Linked DNA regions of Lepisosteus oculatus. The protein of the gene in region 1 purifies or fractionates together with the protein of each later gene. This does not show direct contact. Links are inferred from orthologs where the notes say so. Each region holds a gene or a part of one and is shown in the gene's direction. Other genes may lie near its edges. The genes, in order: sclt1 and kiz.

Region 1 (8,862 bases):
AATGAAGGTTTTTATTATTAAGGGGAAAAAAATCCAAACCTACATGGCCCTGCGTGAAAAAGTGATTGCCCCCCCCCCCCCTGTTAAAACATAAATCAACTGTGGTTTATCACATCTTTGGAAAACTGAGTTCAATTTCTCTAGCCACACCCAGGCCTAATTACTGCCATACCTGTTCTCAATCAAGAAATCACTTAAATAGGACCTGCGTGACAAAGTGAATTAGACCGAAATATCCTCAAAAGCTAGACATCATGCTGCGATCTAAAGAAATTCAGGAACAAATGAGATACAGAGTAGTTAAGATTTATCAGTCTGGAAGAAGTTATAAAGCCATTTCTAAAGCTTTGGGACTACAGCGAACCACAGTGAGAGCCATTATCCACAAATGGCGAAAACATGGAACAGTGGTGAACCTTCCCAGGAGTGGCCGGCCGACGAAAATTACCCCAAGAGTGCAGCGACGACTCATCCAAGAGGTCAGAAAAAACCCACAACAACATCCAAAGAACTGTAGGCTTCACTTGCTTCAGTTAAGGTCAGTGTTCATGACTCCACCATAAGAAAGAGACTGGGCAAAAATGGCCTGCATGGCAGAGTTCCAAGATGAAAACCACTGCTGAGCAAAAAGAACATAAAGGCTTGTCTCAGTTTTGCCAGAAAACATCTTGATGATCCCCCAAGACTTTTGGGAGAATACTCTGTGGACTGATGAGACAAAAGTTGAACTCTTTGGAAGGTGTGTGTCCCATTACATCTGGTGTAAAAGTAACACAGCATTTCAGAAAAGGAACATCATACCAACAGTAAAATATGGTGGTGGTAGTGTGATGGTCTGGGGCTGTTTTGCTGCTTCAGGACCTGGAAGACTTGCGGTGGTAAATGGAACCATGAATTCCGCTGTCTACCAAAAAATCCTGAAGGAGAATGTCCGGTCATCTGTTCATGACCTCAAGCTGACGTGCACTTGGGTTCTGCAGCAGGACAATGATCCAAAACACACCAGCAAGGCCACCAAGACTTTGGAGTGGCGTCAAAGTCCTGACCTGAATCCGATTGACATGTTGTGGCATGACCATAAAAAAGCGGTTAAGGCTTGAAAACCCTCCAATGTGGCTGATTTACAACAATTCTGTAAAGATGAGTGGGCCAAAATTCCTCCTTCCGCTATTAAAGACTTATTGCCAGTTATCGCAAATGCTTGATTGCAGTTGTTGCTGCTAAGAGTGGCCCAACCAGTTATTAGGTTAAGGGGGCAATCACTTTTTCACACAGGGCCATGTAGGTTTGGATTTTTTTTTCCATTAATAATAAAAACCTTTTAAAAACTGCATTTTGTGTTTACTTGTGTTATCTTTGTCTAATATTTCAATTTGTTTGATCTGAAACATTTCAGTGTGACAAACATGCAAAAAAATAAATCAGGAAGGGGGCAAACACTTTTTCACACCACTGTATTTGGCTTCTGGGAAAATTGGCTCTGATGTGAGTGTATGTGTGTTTCTGTCTGCATGTTTCCCATGTGATGAACTGGCATCCTGTCCAGAGAGTATTCTGTCTTGTGCCTGTTGCTTGCTGGGATAGACTCTGACTCTCCCACAACCTTGTATTGGAAGAAGTGGTTAGAAAATGGTTGGACACTGGCATGATGTAATGATATATCTTACAAATCTGTTACCTGCAAGCCTCTTATTCTGGTGAGGCTTTTGATAAGTTGGAACTGATGCTCGAAGCGTAGGCTACAAGAGAGCACTGGAAGCACACAATAAACCCAGAAGAAAGATATTACTACATCAACTCTTACGAGTTCAATATAACTGAAAATGTTTCAACCTCAAGTGAAATATACAGGCACACAATTTTGACAAGAACAATATTATTCCATTGTAAAGAAGTTAACTTACTGTAATGTCTTAATCACTCATCTTTAAAAGTGAAGTGTCTGTTTAAAAAGGTTTAGTAATGTGATAACCATATTGCCAACTTACCTTTATTTTATGGTAGATGAAGTTAGTTTCCTCCTATAAATGCTACAAAAACTAAGCATCCACAGTGCAAACTACTGATAGTTTGTCAATGAATGAAAAATAAATTCTAATTAATTATATTAATTTCTGTTCCTGGACATCTACAGATATAAGCTTTTAGTTAGTAGAATATTATGTGTAATTGAATTGCTTTATATGTATTGTTTAAAACTATAAAACTTTGTGCCGGGACAATTAACTGAACAGTCAATATACAGTAGCATTTGGCAAAAAGAGATAAAGCTATATATTACCATATATACATTTAGAAACAACAAATTAATAGATAAACTAACTTATTGTGGTCAGGAAAATGTACTGTACCATTTCTAACACTTCATTCATCTCATTAGGTACCATCATATTCAAAGTGAATATATCATATACTGTATACCTAATCAGCCTCTTTAGACAAGATATGCTTGAGGTGGAAAACTTAATTTTTCTCCTTCCTTAAATTCCTACTCTATTTTGTTTAACCAGCACTTTTGATATACTAAATAATTATATGATTCAAGGAGATATGCGAGTTTCAATGTGTAATAAAGTGTAGAATACTATGATCAGCAGTGCTTAGAAGTTGCATTTTAGATGGGTTGGTACAGTTTTATCGAAATTGTTTTTTGATCCTATTACAGTTGCAGTGAATTTCTACTTTAATTGGCTTTAGCTATATTCAGTCATCAGTCAGTGGCCTGCAGGATTCTATGTAGTAATTACTTAGTAAATACACAGGTATATTTTCAATTCTTTACATATTCAATTGTTATTCAATTGTAACTTAAATCAGGTCCAAGTTTGTTTCCTGAACCTCGCCTAAATCTAATTGGAACATTTGTCTCGATAGTTGCATGAAAGAGAACAAATTTAATAAAACACTTTAACTAGGAATCATCAGAAAGTGAAGTGTTATTTGATTTAATTGGAGATTTTATATTACAGAACAAAATGATGTTATTTTTGAATGGGTGACGAGTATACGTCTAATATGCTTTCAGGAAAAGTGTTCTGCCAGGTTTGTTGGTACATGAAGTAAGGCTACTAACAAAAACAGCATCCTCTTGTTTTGAGGCATCCAGTTTACCTTGAATTGGTTTGTCACCACTGGAAGATTAACTGGCAGAGATTAAAATGGTTTTAAATAAATTCTCCTCTAAGAAATGCAAGTCAAAGCCCCAACTGCAGCATTTGGCAGGGAAATTAAATTTTGCAGCTTCACTGGTCTATAGCAGGCATTTATTCTCCAGTACATCATTAATACTTTAAAATCCCTGGGCCAGAGCTCTGACGTAACTTGGCCTTCCCAAGAGTGTCAACCATGCATTGACTAGTGGCAGCCTTTAGTGATACAGTATGCTATAGTAGTAAATTATTTTGTACCGGACCATATTCCTTATTAAGGATTTACATGGAAGCTTTATTTGAAAATGTGGGAAATAAAAATTTGGAAGATGATTGACTGTTTTTGATGAAGCCCGCTTAAATGACATTCTGATAGATGACATACTGTATACTGTAGGTCAACCATACTACAGAATCGAAAGGTATGAAGTTTAAAACATAAAGAATTTAAGCAGGCTGTGTCCAGTACATAACCTAAGATGAAGGTCATCAAAACGAAATACTGCACAAGCAAAGCCCACGAAACAGACTTCAATGCTCACTCAAAGTGATTCAACAAGCTATTCCAATACCCAATGTTTCCTGATCTCCTGCCTGGCTCTCTAAACCTTTTTTTAATTCTAAATTTTGCATGAATTATTTTTTTTAAATATTTCATTAGTACTGTACAGTAGGTCAAACTTGTATCCTATTTTGATTTTCTTCCATACATTTCAAAATATTGGAAGTTTCAAAACACCATCTCACTTTATTGCACTCAATCTTGAATTCGTTCTGCTCCTGTATTTATCTCTTCCGTTCCTTTTGTGCCCCAAGGGCTCATTTTCTACATCCTTTCTCATGATCTGCTGTTTCTGCGTCTTCTTCGGTTGCCTGAAAGATCCCTTGAGGACCACAGCCATTGCCAGGCCTGGTTGTTTGCTTTTTAAATTTACTTGCCTGTTCAAGGTAATTAAAATGCACAGGGCTTATTTCTGATGTTTTAGGATAGTTTCTCTCACGTTTCAGTTCTGTCATGGTGACAGACACCTTATAAGTGGGTAGTTGCTGTGAACACTAAACAACTTTAGCCCTGACCTGACCTGGGGATCTCCAACCAGCATAACTACAGTAGACGTGAACTTGAGTATCATGGGGACACTCAGCATGTAACTGCACAAGCCATCTGTGTTTAAGCCTGGATACTGGCCCATCTTGGCTAAAAGGGCAGAATGTTAAATGGTTCCTATACTGTATGTCATGAGTCATGATCCCTGTTGGTATAACTAGAATACCTTCTAGCCCAGGTTTCTTCTTTTACCTTAGGAAACTTTAATAATCTAACTGTTTTTCAGCCCTTTAAATAATTTTGACTTTTTTTGGTGAAGCTTATTGTAAATGTGAATATGTAAAATGTAAATGTAAATGAAAATGTACATTTGAATAATTGCTTTGGAAGGAAACAATTTTAAAATTATATTTTTGGCCTAGGTACTTTCTGAAAAGTGCAAATTTATTGTACATAAGAAACCTTTTTCAATATTTATGGTACAAGAATGCCTTTAATTCTAGAGGTTATGAAGGTTATGCTCTAAGCTTTTAAGGCATACTATTTAAGGCATACCTTATTGGTATGATCTATATTTATATAGATCATACCAATTTCTAACCCTTTTCAAACTCCCATTTTAGTCCAGACGTAACCTACAATTTTGTGGCCACTTGTGTGCATCTGTAGGTTGTCTTCCTTAAGTACTTCACTTTGATTGTATTAGTGTAGGGGTGCCCAAACATTTTAATGTAAGATTTACTTTCATTTTCCAGTCCAGCGCGATTTACCAGTGTGAATTTGAAGCTGTGATATAGGAAAAACAGACTGTGGACACATCAGTACAATAGCGATACCCATCACTAAAATTACAGCAAATAAAAGCAAGTGACTCATACTACAGTGAACAAGTATTGTTCCCCGTTTAAGAAAAAAAGAATGCTCGACATTCAGCTCATTCAGCAGTTCAGTCAAGTTTGTGAGGAATGCTAAATCCAGAAGCCAGTGGTCATCCTCTAATTGGGCATATTCACCATGTTTAGACGACTTGAGAAACTCTTTGATTTCAGGTAACAGCTGTCAAAAATGTTTGTTTTTGAAATCTCCAAACAGCAAGTCAGCAGCCTCAGGAAATGCTTTTTTTATTACTTCTCGATCCCTGAATTACTTTTTGTGTTTAGCAAGGACATGGCTCACACGGAACAATGCAATGATTGAAGCTTTCCTTCTTGTATTACTACTTCTAATACTAATTACGAATACTATTAGGCCTCGTGAAAACCGACTGCTGGTAGTTGAGATTTAAATTTTTCCACTTTTCTTTTCCCTAACTCACTTTTAGCGGGAAAGTCCACATCATACATTTTGTGTGCAGTTTTGAAATGTTGGACATTTCCCTTTTTCGTAGATGCTAGCATTGCAGATTTGAATGCAATAGTACAAAAAATAATAATGTAACACTCCGGGGTTCACATGGGTATGCGCCCTCACCTCTGCCGCCTCAGGTCAGCCCCCCACCGCTGGGGACTCAAACCCGGGCCTCTGGCGTCACTCAACAGGGACCCAATCACTTGAGCTAAAGGGAAATCTCCTGTCAGCCCGGTGGCTGCAGTCCCTGCTATTCACAGGGAAGGGCAGTGACGTCACCACGCTAGTAAGCTGGCTCGAACAACCAATGGTGGCCTTAGAGAGTTACACTCTCCCCCGCTTAATTCACCGTCCTCGGTGAAGGGCTATCCCACCCCACTCCTGACACCAATGTAATGCTCCGGGGTTCACGTGGGTATGCGCCCTCGACTCTGCCGCCTCAGGTCGGTCCCCACCACGCTCGCATTCCTTGTGTTAACAGTAAGTTTTCGTCTCTTTGCTTCATCATTTTCGCTCAAACACTACAACTATCAAAAAGGCAATCAAACTTATCAAACTGTTGGCAAATTTTATATGGCCAGTCGGTTTCGCTCCAGCATGCGCTTTAGCGAATTTGGGGCTCATGCAGCAATAACCAAGAGAACATTCTTGGGTAGCACACACAACAATCTTTATTTACGGAGCTTCTGTAACTTTTTTATCCCCTGTGTCAGCCAGCACTCAGGGAAGAGACTTTTACAACCCATTCGACAAGAGTTCAACACACACAAAGGCAGTAAAATGTATGACATTACATGCACAGATCTGAATACATTTTTAGATTATCAAAAAAAAGTAAATAGTCAAATAGCCCATTTATTTTTTATTTATCTCTTGCGAGAGATTGACTGGTAGATCGCGATCGACTGGTTGGGCACCCCTGTATTAGTGGATAAGTAATGGGCATTATCTCTCTTTACCTGTTCATCATCTTCTCTGTCTTTTTCTGTTGTAAAAAATAAAATACCGAGGTATGAAGTACAATTTATTAAGCCAGACAATATGCACAGCAGTTCAGTAAATAATGATTTCCCTAGATAGTCTTTAAAGATTGTTTTTTGGTTGTGAGTTCAGACTTCATGAATTTTGATAAAGAAAACAAAACAAAATGGCTGTCTATCACACACGATCATGTTTCTGTTGGTGGTTAATAAAACGAATAGTGTCATGTTCATTTGTGCCTTGTCAGTTTCTCCAAGATAGCCTTAGTCCAGACGCACTGCGGTCTGTTTACTCCTCTGTAATGACATCTAGCTGTTTTTTGAAAATGAAGTAGCACTGATTCATTGCAGTAATAAAGGAAAAAGGTCTGTACATGGATGGATGGATCATGGATAAATGAGTAGGGAGAAATACAGATGTGGTAGATTCCATAAATATCTTTTGTTTACAGGCAGATTGATACAAAGAAGGCTTAAAGTATGATGCTGGTGTCTAGCTGTCTTTTACTTACAAAAAGTACCAACTTTAGGTTTAAAGACTTTTTGCACTCACTTTACCTTATACTGTATATCACTGGACAGGGCTCCTGGAAACAGGATCTGGTGATTTTATCATACATTACCATTTGTGTTCTACTGTAGCATTCAGATTTTGCAAACACAAAGATACGCTTATTTTGTACATTTGAAATTTGATTAGCATTTTAAAGGTTTAAGGGATTACCTTATAGCAGCCGTGTCAGGTTTTGTTGCATATGTAAGTAAACATGCTATGAGAGATTCCAAAGCAAGTTTTCTGCTCTTTGTACTGTATACAGTATATGATGCAAACAGTGATGTACTAATTGCAAAGAGGCATCAGTGGCTAAAATAATGCAGCTATAAAGCTAACTATTGAGTTTTTTTTTCTGAATTTCATCATCACTTAGTTGATGATGATTTGTTAATTGCTGTAAAAGTATTGAGAATAATGCTGTAAGCCTGTATGAATATGGTAGTACAGTATACATTTGGAACTTTCATGCATGTAGGTTAAAATCTTGAATTTATCCCTGTAGTCTGGTAAAGGGTTACGGTTACACTCAACATTTTCAGATTTATATGTAGTAAAGAGCATACTATGATATAAATATGGACTGGTGTGAATAATTTTCATAAAATTGTCATTTGTTTTACTTAGCTTAACAGTACTTTTACAATACATTGTCAAGTGAAAAATTTTTTTTGCATTTCTGGTCTGTAGCAGTTTTTGAAAGTACTGTGCATTTACGTGAACAGTTGAACTAGAGTTCAGTAAAGAAAAATGGCTCAGTGCACAGCCTTCCAAATAATAGCACAACTCTTCATTTAAATCTTTTTCATTGGCCCTCTACCTTGCAGATCCTGATGCCTGTTACCGTGCCTTACAGCTAAGCCCACAGAAACCTGCAGGGAGCATCTACCTTTTCAAAAGCTTTTTTTCCTGCCCCACTTTTGCAACTGACACTTTCTTGTCGTTTGCAGTGGTTGTGTTAACTGACATGCACAAAAACCTCAGAGCATGTGATGGGGTGGGGAGATGAAGAGATAAAAAAATCCCTAACTATAAAAGTAGCGAGAAGGATTTCACTTTCTATGGTTTCGATTTTGAATCCTCATAATAATTCTACACAGGAACTGACATCTTACTTTGCCCATGTTATCTGGAGGCCATTGATGGTATATATGTTTTTTATCTTTTATTTAGCTCATTGTGCATTGTGAAATGATCAGTTTAACTGATAAAGAGAAGTATGACTTATTTTTGTAAAAATGATTGATGTCATTAAGAACCTATAGTATCCCACAATCCTGTACTGTATATCATTTTTCCAAACTCCTTTCTTTGCAATATTCAGTGTATGCCAGGCTGTCAGTTCAGATTCAGAAAACAGGCACAAAAGCTGTGTCTTATCTAACCAGCATGAACTACTTAGTTTCTCATACTAAAAAAAGATAAAGTCACAGAACACAAAGTGATATACAAAGATTGTTCTGCTTCCATGATGTCTCATTCCCAGTCTCTTTTGATTGTCTGTGAAAGCACTTTGAACACCTGTGAAAAAAATCAAAGAAAAGTTAGTTTTAACTCTGGAAAAGAACTAATCTTTCAGAATTGTATGCTTGTGTGAATATCTCTATTTAGAATAGTAAGATACTACTCATCATAATACACTTCAGCTCTTAGATGGGTAAACATTGAAGAAATATGCTACATAGAATTGGAGCACAATGATTGCTTGTAATTTTAGATCCTAAAAGCAGTTTTTGTCACGATCGTAAACCCCTCCTCTTAAGGACACTCCAGTCCTTCCTTGTT
Region 2 (8,241 bases), on another chromosome or scaffold:
GCTTGAATTGTCAAAGTTAGGTCACATTCATGCACCAAACTTAAACTAACCTAGCACAAAGGACTCTCATTGGGACCATAAACATTGGTCAACATACTCAGGAGTTGGTCAATGTCTGTCAATGTTGGATTCGGGGAAAAGAAAAACTAATCATGCACTATCCAACTTATGTTATCTTTGGAAAATTGCAAACCGTGGATGGGTTTGCAGGGGTACAAGTAAACTTCCCTTGAGCATTTTGTCAAAGTGCTGATGACAAGCTAGACAGACTTCATAATCTAACATTGGAGCCTTTGTGTTAAATGAGAAGCAGTACCTCTTTAATACCTTACACTCGCACCTCCAAAGACAACGTCTTCAATCATGTCTCAAAGAAAAACAGAAAATAGCAAGTCAAACACTAGACCAGATTATTTTTCTTGCCACCTCCTTGTGATCATAACCTTTCTTCTGTTGTCGGATACTGCCTAGTCCGTAAAAATAATAATTGTGAAACTCAGTTGCCAAGATGTTTTCCATGAATTGTCTTCAGTAATTAACAGGAGTTTCCACACATGACGTGGTTATGGTCATTCGGCTGATTTTATGTTATATCATGTTGTTACGGTCTTCATGATCAAGGCCTGTAGGCTCTTGAAATGTCCCAGAGACACAGCAAAACAACGTGAATATCCTTGTCACCCTTTCTTTTCCCTTATGTTCTCTATTGTTTTACACAGCCTTCTTCTTAGTCTGAGAAGATGTATTCTAATTGTTAAATCATAGCATCTAGGAACAATTTCTCTCGTAGATAAGCGGATGTTAACAGTGATCGGTAATATTTGGTTTATTTCTAGAAACCTAGACAGGTCTTGGAATGTAGTGGAGTCCACTGTTGTCTAAGACGTGGCTCTGAGCCCATGAGCAGACAGGGGCAGAGCAGAGCTGCAGCAGTTGCGCTGACAGAAATCAAGTCTGTTACTCAAGTGATCCATTACTGCGTCGTTCCTTCTTCCTGGTTGAGAGAGAAAGTGTTTTTGTTTGTAAGGTTTAGGTACACATGACACTTCATCTTACTTGGTATAATATATGCTCAGCTCAAACCAGACATTGTACATAACCAGTCTGTTTTGTTAATCACGTGACTTACTGTATGCTGCAAGCACTTCAATCACTGTACTCCTTACTTTTCATATACGACAAATTCCATTCACCTCCTTTAATGAATTATAACTGACGCATTGTCATTGGTCTGTGGCACATCACTTTAATTACCATAAACACATTTTTTAAAGTACAGTTTCCTGTAGATCCCTGGGGCGGAGCGGTGGCTCTGTGGCTAAGGATCTGCACCTGTGACTGGAAAGTTGCCAGTTCAAATCCCGCGGCCGGCAGAGGAATCCTACTCCATTGGGCCCCTGAGCAAGGCCCTTAACACCAACTGCTCCAGGAGTGCCGTACAATGGCAGACCCTGCTTTCTGACCCCAAGCTTCTCCCTGTCTGTGTGTCTGTGTCTCCATGGAGAAAAGCTGGGGTATGCAAAAAGACAAATTCCTAATGCAAGAAATTGTATAGGGCTAATAAAGAAACATAAACATTATTATAGATTTATGGTACTATCATTTCCAGTGTGACCCCATACAATAGTTTGGAGAGGAAAAGAAATCGAATCTTTAAGAATCTGAAACTAATAATTTGAGAATTATTTTATTTATGGCTTGCTTACCTTAGCTACGTTTCCTCCTTTCAATACCAGAAACAACTGGCAAAGATATACACTGATAGATTGTACACTGCTCATCTGCAACCCTTTCATGTTGGTGAAAGCATACTTCTGTTTTTGCCCTGTTTTAAAGGAAAGTGTGATGTTGAAACTACAGAAATTATTATGATAATACTAGTGACATAGCATTATCAACTAGCATATCAGACTGAGACACAGCAGTGAAACAGATTCTTGTTAAGGTAGTTAATGATTTGTATGATGGCTTCTGACTCTGGGTCACTTAATATCCTTCTTCTTATGGATTTAAGTGCAGTTTTTGATACTGTCAATCACAGCATCCTACTGGCTTGAAAGAAAAATTACCTAGGGATTACTGTGACTTTCCTTCATTGCTTTGGCTCGTATTTGACTACCAGGAGCCAATTTGTAAATCGTGGCCATTTCAAATTTGATGTTGTCCCACTTATTCAGGATGATTCATAGGGTTCTGTGCTGGGACCTTTAGTATTTAGTAAAGGCACATTTATATGTTGTCTCTTGGTCTATTTGGTGTCCCTGCTATACTGAAGACACTGAGATTATGCGATCTCACAAAATTAGATGCATTTGCTGTAGTTTCTGCACTTTACAGGTGGCCTGACATTAAAATATGGATGCAACAGAACATTCTTAAGCTAAATGGTGGCAAGACAGAGTTATGCTCACAGACTCTCAACATCAGCTTTGCAAAGTTGCTGACTTCAGTGCTGTTGATGGTGGTCCCTGAATCAAGCCTTTAATGGAATTTAGAAAAATTGGTCCCACATTTGAAGTGCATATTAGAAATATCTTTCTTACGCTACATAATATTGCTTGAGTAAGACCCTTGCTCTGCCTGACTGACACTGAAATACTGATATGTGCCTTTATTTAATTGAGATTAGATAACTCTAATACCTTACTCACTGGGGTTCATTCTAGTCAGTCAGAATGCAACTGTGAACCAAACTAAATGTACAAGCAGAGGTTAATGCTGCTCTGAAAAACACAAAGAAATAAGAAAAATCAGAAACATAACAAAAAGGACTCTGCATAACTCCTTTCCACTGCATATTGCACTAGCTTGCTATAAAATTTAGAGACTTTAACATTCAGAAACTCATATATAAAACAACCAATGATCTAGTTTTATATTATCTTAAGGGTTTACTGCAGAAGTACAGCTCAGGTTTTAAATTTAGATCTGCTTATTTTGGCCTTCTCACTCAGTTGACCAGGCTCCACAATGGGCAATATACTGTATTTCTTCTCATGTCTGTATAGAAATTGGCCAAATCCATTAGAGACCCGCTAAACTGTCTACAATTTTCTTAAAGACCTGCACTGCACTGCAGAGAAAAAGCCTGTGAACCCCCAATATATTTTTTGTGTAGCAATTCAATTTTTTTTGATGCAATGCTATATGAAGTAAAAAAAAACAAACATACTGTTATATGAAAGTATAATGTGAACCCCTAGTGTGCTTTATCACATTTAAGGGATTACTTATGCCAGCGTCACACTACACAAACTTTACTAGGATTTTCGAAGCCTTCATTTACATAATCATAAGAATATCATAGCTAGTTGTAGAGAGTCGCAACATGTGCCTGTTACCGTCAGTTGTGTAGTGTGACACCCCCAACGTTGCCGTCAGTTGTGTAGTGTGACACCCCCAACGTTGCCGTCAGTTGTGTAGTGTGACACCCAGCAAGCGCTCTTAACAGCCCCTACGGCTCTCTGAGACTCGCTGCGATAAAATCAAACTGATTGGCTGCCAAAACGTGGCGACCTCGCGGTACTTCACGGCCATATACGACATTAGGAGCCGTGACGAAAAGTCGTGAGAGAATCGTGTAATTACTCACCCCCTGCGATTCCTAGTCGTATAACTTGACACCCTCCTGGACAGAAAAGGCAGGGAGATTCAGCAACTGCAGTCATTATAGTTGACATGCTCTGTCATGTCGAGGCCTCTAGTGTGATGCCGGCTTTAGAATCAGGTGGTTAAATAATTAGGTAAAAAGTAACAAGTTCTGAGTCTGGGCCACCCTGTCCTGTATAATGGTACGAACCTTTGCGGCTTTGTTGCAAATGAACAGGCAAGATTTCAAAGTTTCCTCCGCAAAGAGTTGTTTGTGTTCATCAATCTGCAGATGGTTACAAAACTATCCCTACACGTTTTTGGGCTCTATCCATCCACTGTCAGTCTACAGATGGAAACTTTTCAAAGTCCAGATCTCCCTGAGAGCAACCTGGAACATCACCCAGGAAGTCACAAACAACCCAGAGTAAGCCTCATGATCTGCAGGCCTCTTTTGTTGTGGCAAGAGTCACTGTTCATGCCTCAGCCTTCAGGAAAACACTGAATGGGAGTGGAGGGATAGCCAGGAAGACACCAGTGCTCTCTGTAAAGAATTTTGCCTTCTGTCTCAAATAGTAGGCCACAAGGAAAAAATGTTTTGTGTGGCGAAAACCAAATGTTCTCTTCCAACAGAGGAACCTCATCCCAACTGTTAAGGATGTTAGTGGGAGTATCATGATTTGGATCCGCTTTGCTGCCTAAATAATTTGCCATCCTCGACAGAACCATGAAGTCTGCACTGTGACAGCTGAAGAAGGCTCCACAGCCAAAATGTTGTGTGTCTTTTCTTTTCATCATGGAATAAATCTTTACTTGTTCCTTTCCAAATTTCTCATTTCAGACATGTGGGATACCTCAGAATACAGTGTGCTCCAAACATTGACAAACTACAATTATATATTACATATTATATTTGCATAAACTTATAAAACTGCATAGAATTTATATAATACTTAGGCTTAATTTCTACTTATAGGTAATCAATTACTTTAAGTACTAGTAAAGTTATTTTGATAAAATATCAGGTAAGAGGTACAGAAAAATAAGTAGATCTATTTTTCCGTTAACATCCTTTACAAACCTTTAAATTGGGCTCTGTTGCTTCATTGTTAATCTCTGCCACTTGTAAGATATTATCCCTAAGCTTAACAATTTGTCTTCCTATTTTTACAACATTTTGTAAAGAAAGATAATGGTATCCAGTTCAAAACGTGACATGTATTTCTCACATTAAAAAAAAGATACGTTGGCGTTTCAGGATAATAATAATAATAATTCTAGTAAAACAAAAAAGAATCAAACGCACAGCACTGGATGAATAACTTGAAAGATGGGAGCAACAGCTCTTGTGAAACAAGGTGAGCAACACCTCTCTCAGCACAGACAAGGCCACGCCGCTCCAGCTGGCTGGCTCAAGCTCCCTCATGGCTCGAGTGTTTACTGTCGGTGCTCTGACAACCGGGGTAAACAAGACAGCGCTGCGCCGCCGAGCTCGGCTTCGGGGAGCCCCAGTCGGCAGCATGGCCCTTTCCGAGAAACAGTACCTGGAGAGAACCGGAGCCCTTCAGCGGAATCTGCACGAAGGGTGAGCCCGGCCGGCGGAGCTTATTATTTCCGAGTATCACGGCGCATAAATCCATTTTCTGCTTCCCCCGTTGAACCGAACAGGCCGAAGCAGGGACCTCGGACTGGATTGAAGTGGTTTCCGGTCCTGCTCGTTTCTTCAGCGGAGGGTTTTTTTTGGGGGGGGGGGGGGGGGGGTCGGAAAACTGCGCATTATCGAGTGTGAAACGGCGTTTAAACTTTAACTTTAAGAAGAAAAAATGTCGCGTCCTACCAGACATTTTGAAGACATTGTTTTACGAGCGGGGGTCTAGTCGCTGTGCTAGTGTGAAACCCCGGTAATCGTTTTTTTTTTACATAGCTGCAGTAGTTTAAACTTCGATCTCTTGTGGGCAGAAACGTTTGTAAAGGGATTTCTTTATATGTTGTTTCCTTGTATCATATTGGAAAGTCTACAAGGTTGTAAAAACCGATTCGTCTGTATGCGATATGAAATTAAAATGTAACGATAGCAGGACTCAACTTTTCTCTAGACTCATTGATTTTTACCAGTACAGTAAATTATACTATTGGTAGTAAAATTATCTCTGTTAGTTGTAACATTCCTGGAAATTTGACATCCAAATGCACTAAGGTGCACATCGAGCGAAAGGACATATGCTGTTGTCTAATATATAGGTAGGTAGGGAGGCAGGCGTCTGTTTGCTGATGAAGGAGACAGTTTAACGTTACTGCTGTATTGTTCTATTTGGGAAGCATGCAGTCCATGAATGTATATTGCATACAGAATTGTAATTCCAGTAAAGTGCAGTTTAATTTAGACCTCTTGGGTGTCAGAATAAGGATGGGAATAAGCGATATGCTTCAACTGACTAGTCCCAAAAACCAAGATAAACAAGCTTAAGTGACTTCAGTCCATCAAAGCAAACATTTTAAATTTAAGAGACAAATGTGCAGATTGTCATATCACGAGTTACATTTTCAGTAGAGGGAAAAGTTCACCTTTTCGAATATACAGTGCTCAATTTTAATTTGCTTTGGATTCGAAAGCTTTTTTTTAATAAAAAAACCTCTGAAGTTAGAAGCTTTGGCTTTATCTCTTGTGATGTCTTCCTTGACAGTGAGAAAAAGAGATTGGAGTTGGAAAGAGAGCTGTTTACTTACTGCAGGTCTGACAGAATGTGAGTATGCAAAGCGGTTTTCTTCATCTAGATGTGACTTCAGCCTTTGGCTTTGTCGAGCTTTTTTAAAAAAAACATGGGAACAGTTGTTCACACATTGTAATCTGCTGATTACAGTATTGTAATAGTGAAGTATGGTTCACTGTATGTTTATTACGTTTAAAATGTATTTGCACTTTATCTCTGTCAATCTTTCTGTAACAAGTTAAAAAAAGTAAAATTGAAACCGACTTTCCCCTCATATCGTCTGTATTCCTTTTTTAGTGTAATTCCATACATTTAACTATCTTCTTTATGACCACATATATAGTAAAGAGTGTAGAGCTTTAGAGCTTCATTTTTGTTAATTCTTAAAAGGTGCAGGACAAGCTAGACCAGGAAACATTCCTTCTTGCTGTGCTATGAAACCATTATATATTAAAACTGCCCAAGTTTAGATATTTTCATAACTAATGAACATATTATGCAGAATTAATGAAATACATTGCATGTGTATTAGTGCCTGTGCAGGATAAAGCTAATTTCTTCTGTGGTTGAATTAAATCACATTTTTCAAGCTATGGGTGATTTTCTGTTTCCAGTGTAATAAATATGCCCCACAGCAGGCACCAACAAAACTTGCTCCTCCATTTTTCCCCAGAACAAAGTGTCCATATGTTGTTGTGATGACACTTAACCTATGCAACTTTTGTTTTAAAACAATTGGAGCAGTAACTTTTGGAAATGCTGTTTGCATCCCATTAAATGTTGATATGATTGCACTTGGAATGAGTACTCCAAAGCCTTTGTTTTAAAACGAGATGCATTTTAATCTGTGGTATAAACAAACACATTTAACAGGAGAGACACTGGATGAAGTGATTGGCTTGCTGATAAAAAACTAGAATGCCATGTTATCAAAATGTTTGGGAAACAATGATCTCGTTATCCTTTGCAGTGTACTATTTAAATGTAAATATGAAAGTATCCGATTATAGGACAGTATAATCTTAAAATGCATTGTATTATTTTAGGAGACACCTTTAATTAGTGGGTTACCTTTACAATATTTTTAACTTTTCTTTTCAGATCCCAGATAAAAAATACAAAATTGCGCTGCTATCTGAAGGAGATCTGTGAAAGAGAAAACCAAGCTAAGATTAGAAACCTCCAGTTTCTGAAAGACTTTCAGCATATTGAATTGCATCTAAAAACTCTGGTTCCTGACTACAGCACATTATATCAGAAAAAGGTAATGCATTTAATGCATGTAGATTGGATAATTTAATCCTTCTTCAGTATGTACATTGCAAACAATTTTATTTTATGTTTTGGTTTAACATTTTCATTTCATATACAGTGGGACCCAAGTCTTATGTTGTGGAAAATGAAACAGAACATCTACATTTTAGAGTAGATCTTCATCTTTATAGTGGGAATGTGTCGCATTTTTGATATGTAAATGCCTATGGGCCATGGCAGTGTGGCGGTTAGCTCTTAGACCTCATACCTCTTGGGTCCCGGGTTCGATTCTGGGTTAGAGTGCCTTCTGTGTGGAATTTGCATGTTCTCTCTGGTTTTCTGATTGTGGATAGATTGAAATTTGAATCCAGCTCCAAAAAAACCCCAAGATTAAAAACAAGATGATTGTTTTTAAATCTCCACCGCAAAGACATCTTGGAGTTGTAAGAATGCAACTTCAGAGGCCTCCCCAGAGGCTCAAACGGGAAAGGCACTCAGTCGCCTGAGGGAGGCGCTCTTGTGTTTCAACAGTGCAGCGACGCCTGTGGTGTGCTCGTTACTTGCAGGCATACAGTGGACATGATATAGTGCAGAACCTGCTGTACAGGGCTGTGTTGTCTGTGTTACAAGAGGAATGGACTCAGATCCCCTGTTACATTTCTGCCTTCTTTTTAAGGACACTCCCTAT

Evidence for each region.
Region 2: the proteins of sclt1 (region 1) and kiz purify together in Homo sapiens (co-immunoprecipitation; 3 studies listed by BioGRID and IntAct, counting the BioPlex papers as one, with this or other methods). This does not show direct contact. The link is inferred for Lepisosteus oculatus from reciprocal best matches to the Homo sapiens genes SCLT1 and KIZ.

The regions. Positions count from the first base shown.
Region 1 is NC_090696.1:36,254,311-36,263,172, reverse strand, and holds the start of sclt1 (sodium channel and clathrin linker 1), read left to right. Parts: upstream 1-5,540; 5' UTR 5,541-5,550; intron 5,551-6,555; exon of another isoform or gene 6,556-8,598; intron 8,599-8,862. UniProt on the Homo sapiens protein: Adapter protein that links SCN10A to clathrin. Regulates SCN10A channel activity, possibly by promoting channel internalization.
Region 2 is NC_090697.1:10,154,933-10,163,173, forward strand, and holds the start of kiz (centrosomal protein kizuna), read left to right. Parts: upstream 1-4,682; 5' UTR 4,683-5,012; coding exon 5,013-5,173; intron 5,174-6,272; coding exon 6,273-6,332; intron 6,333-7,400; coding exon 7,401-7,563; intron 7,564-8,241. UniProt on the Homo sapiens protein: Centrosomal protein required for establishing a robust mitotic centrosome architecture that can endure the forces that converge on the centrosomes during spindle formation. Required for stabilizing the expanded pericentriolar material around the centriole.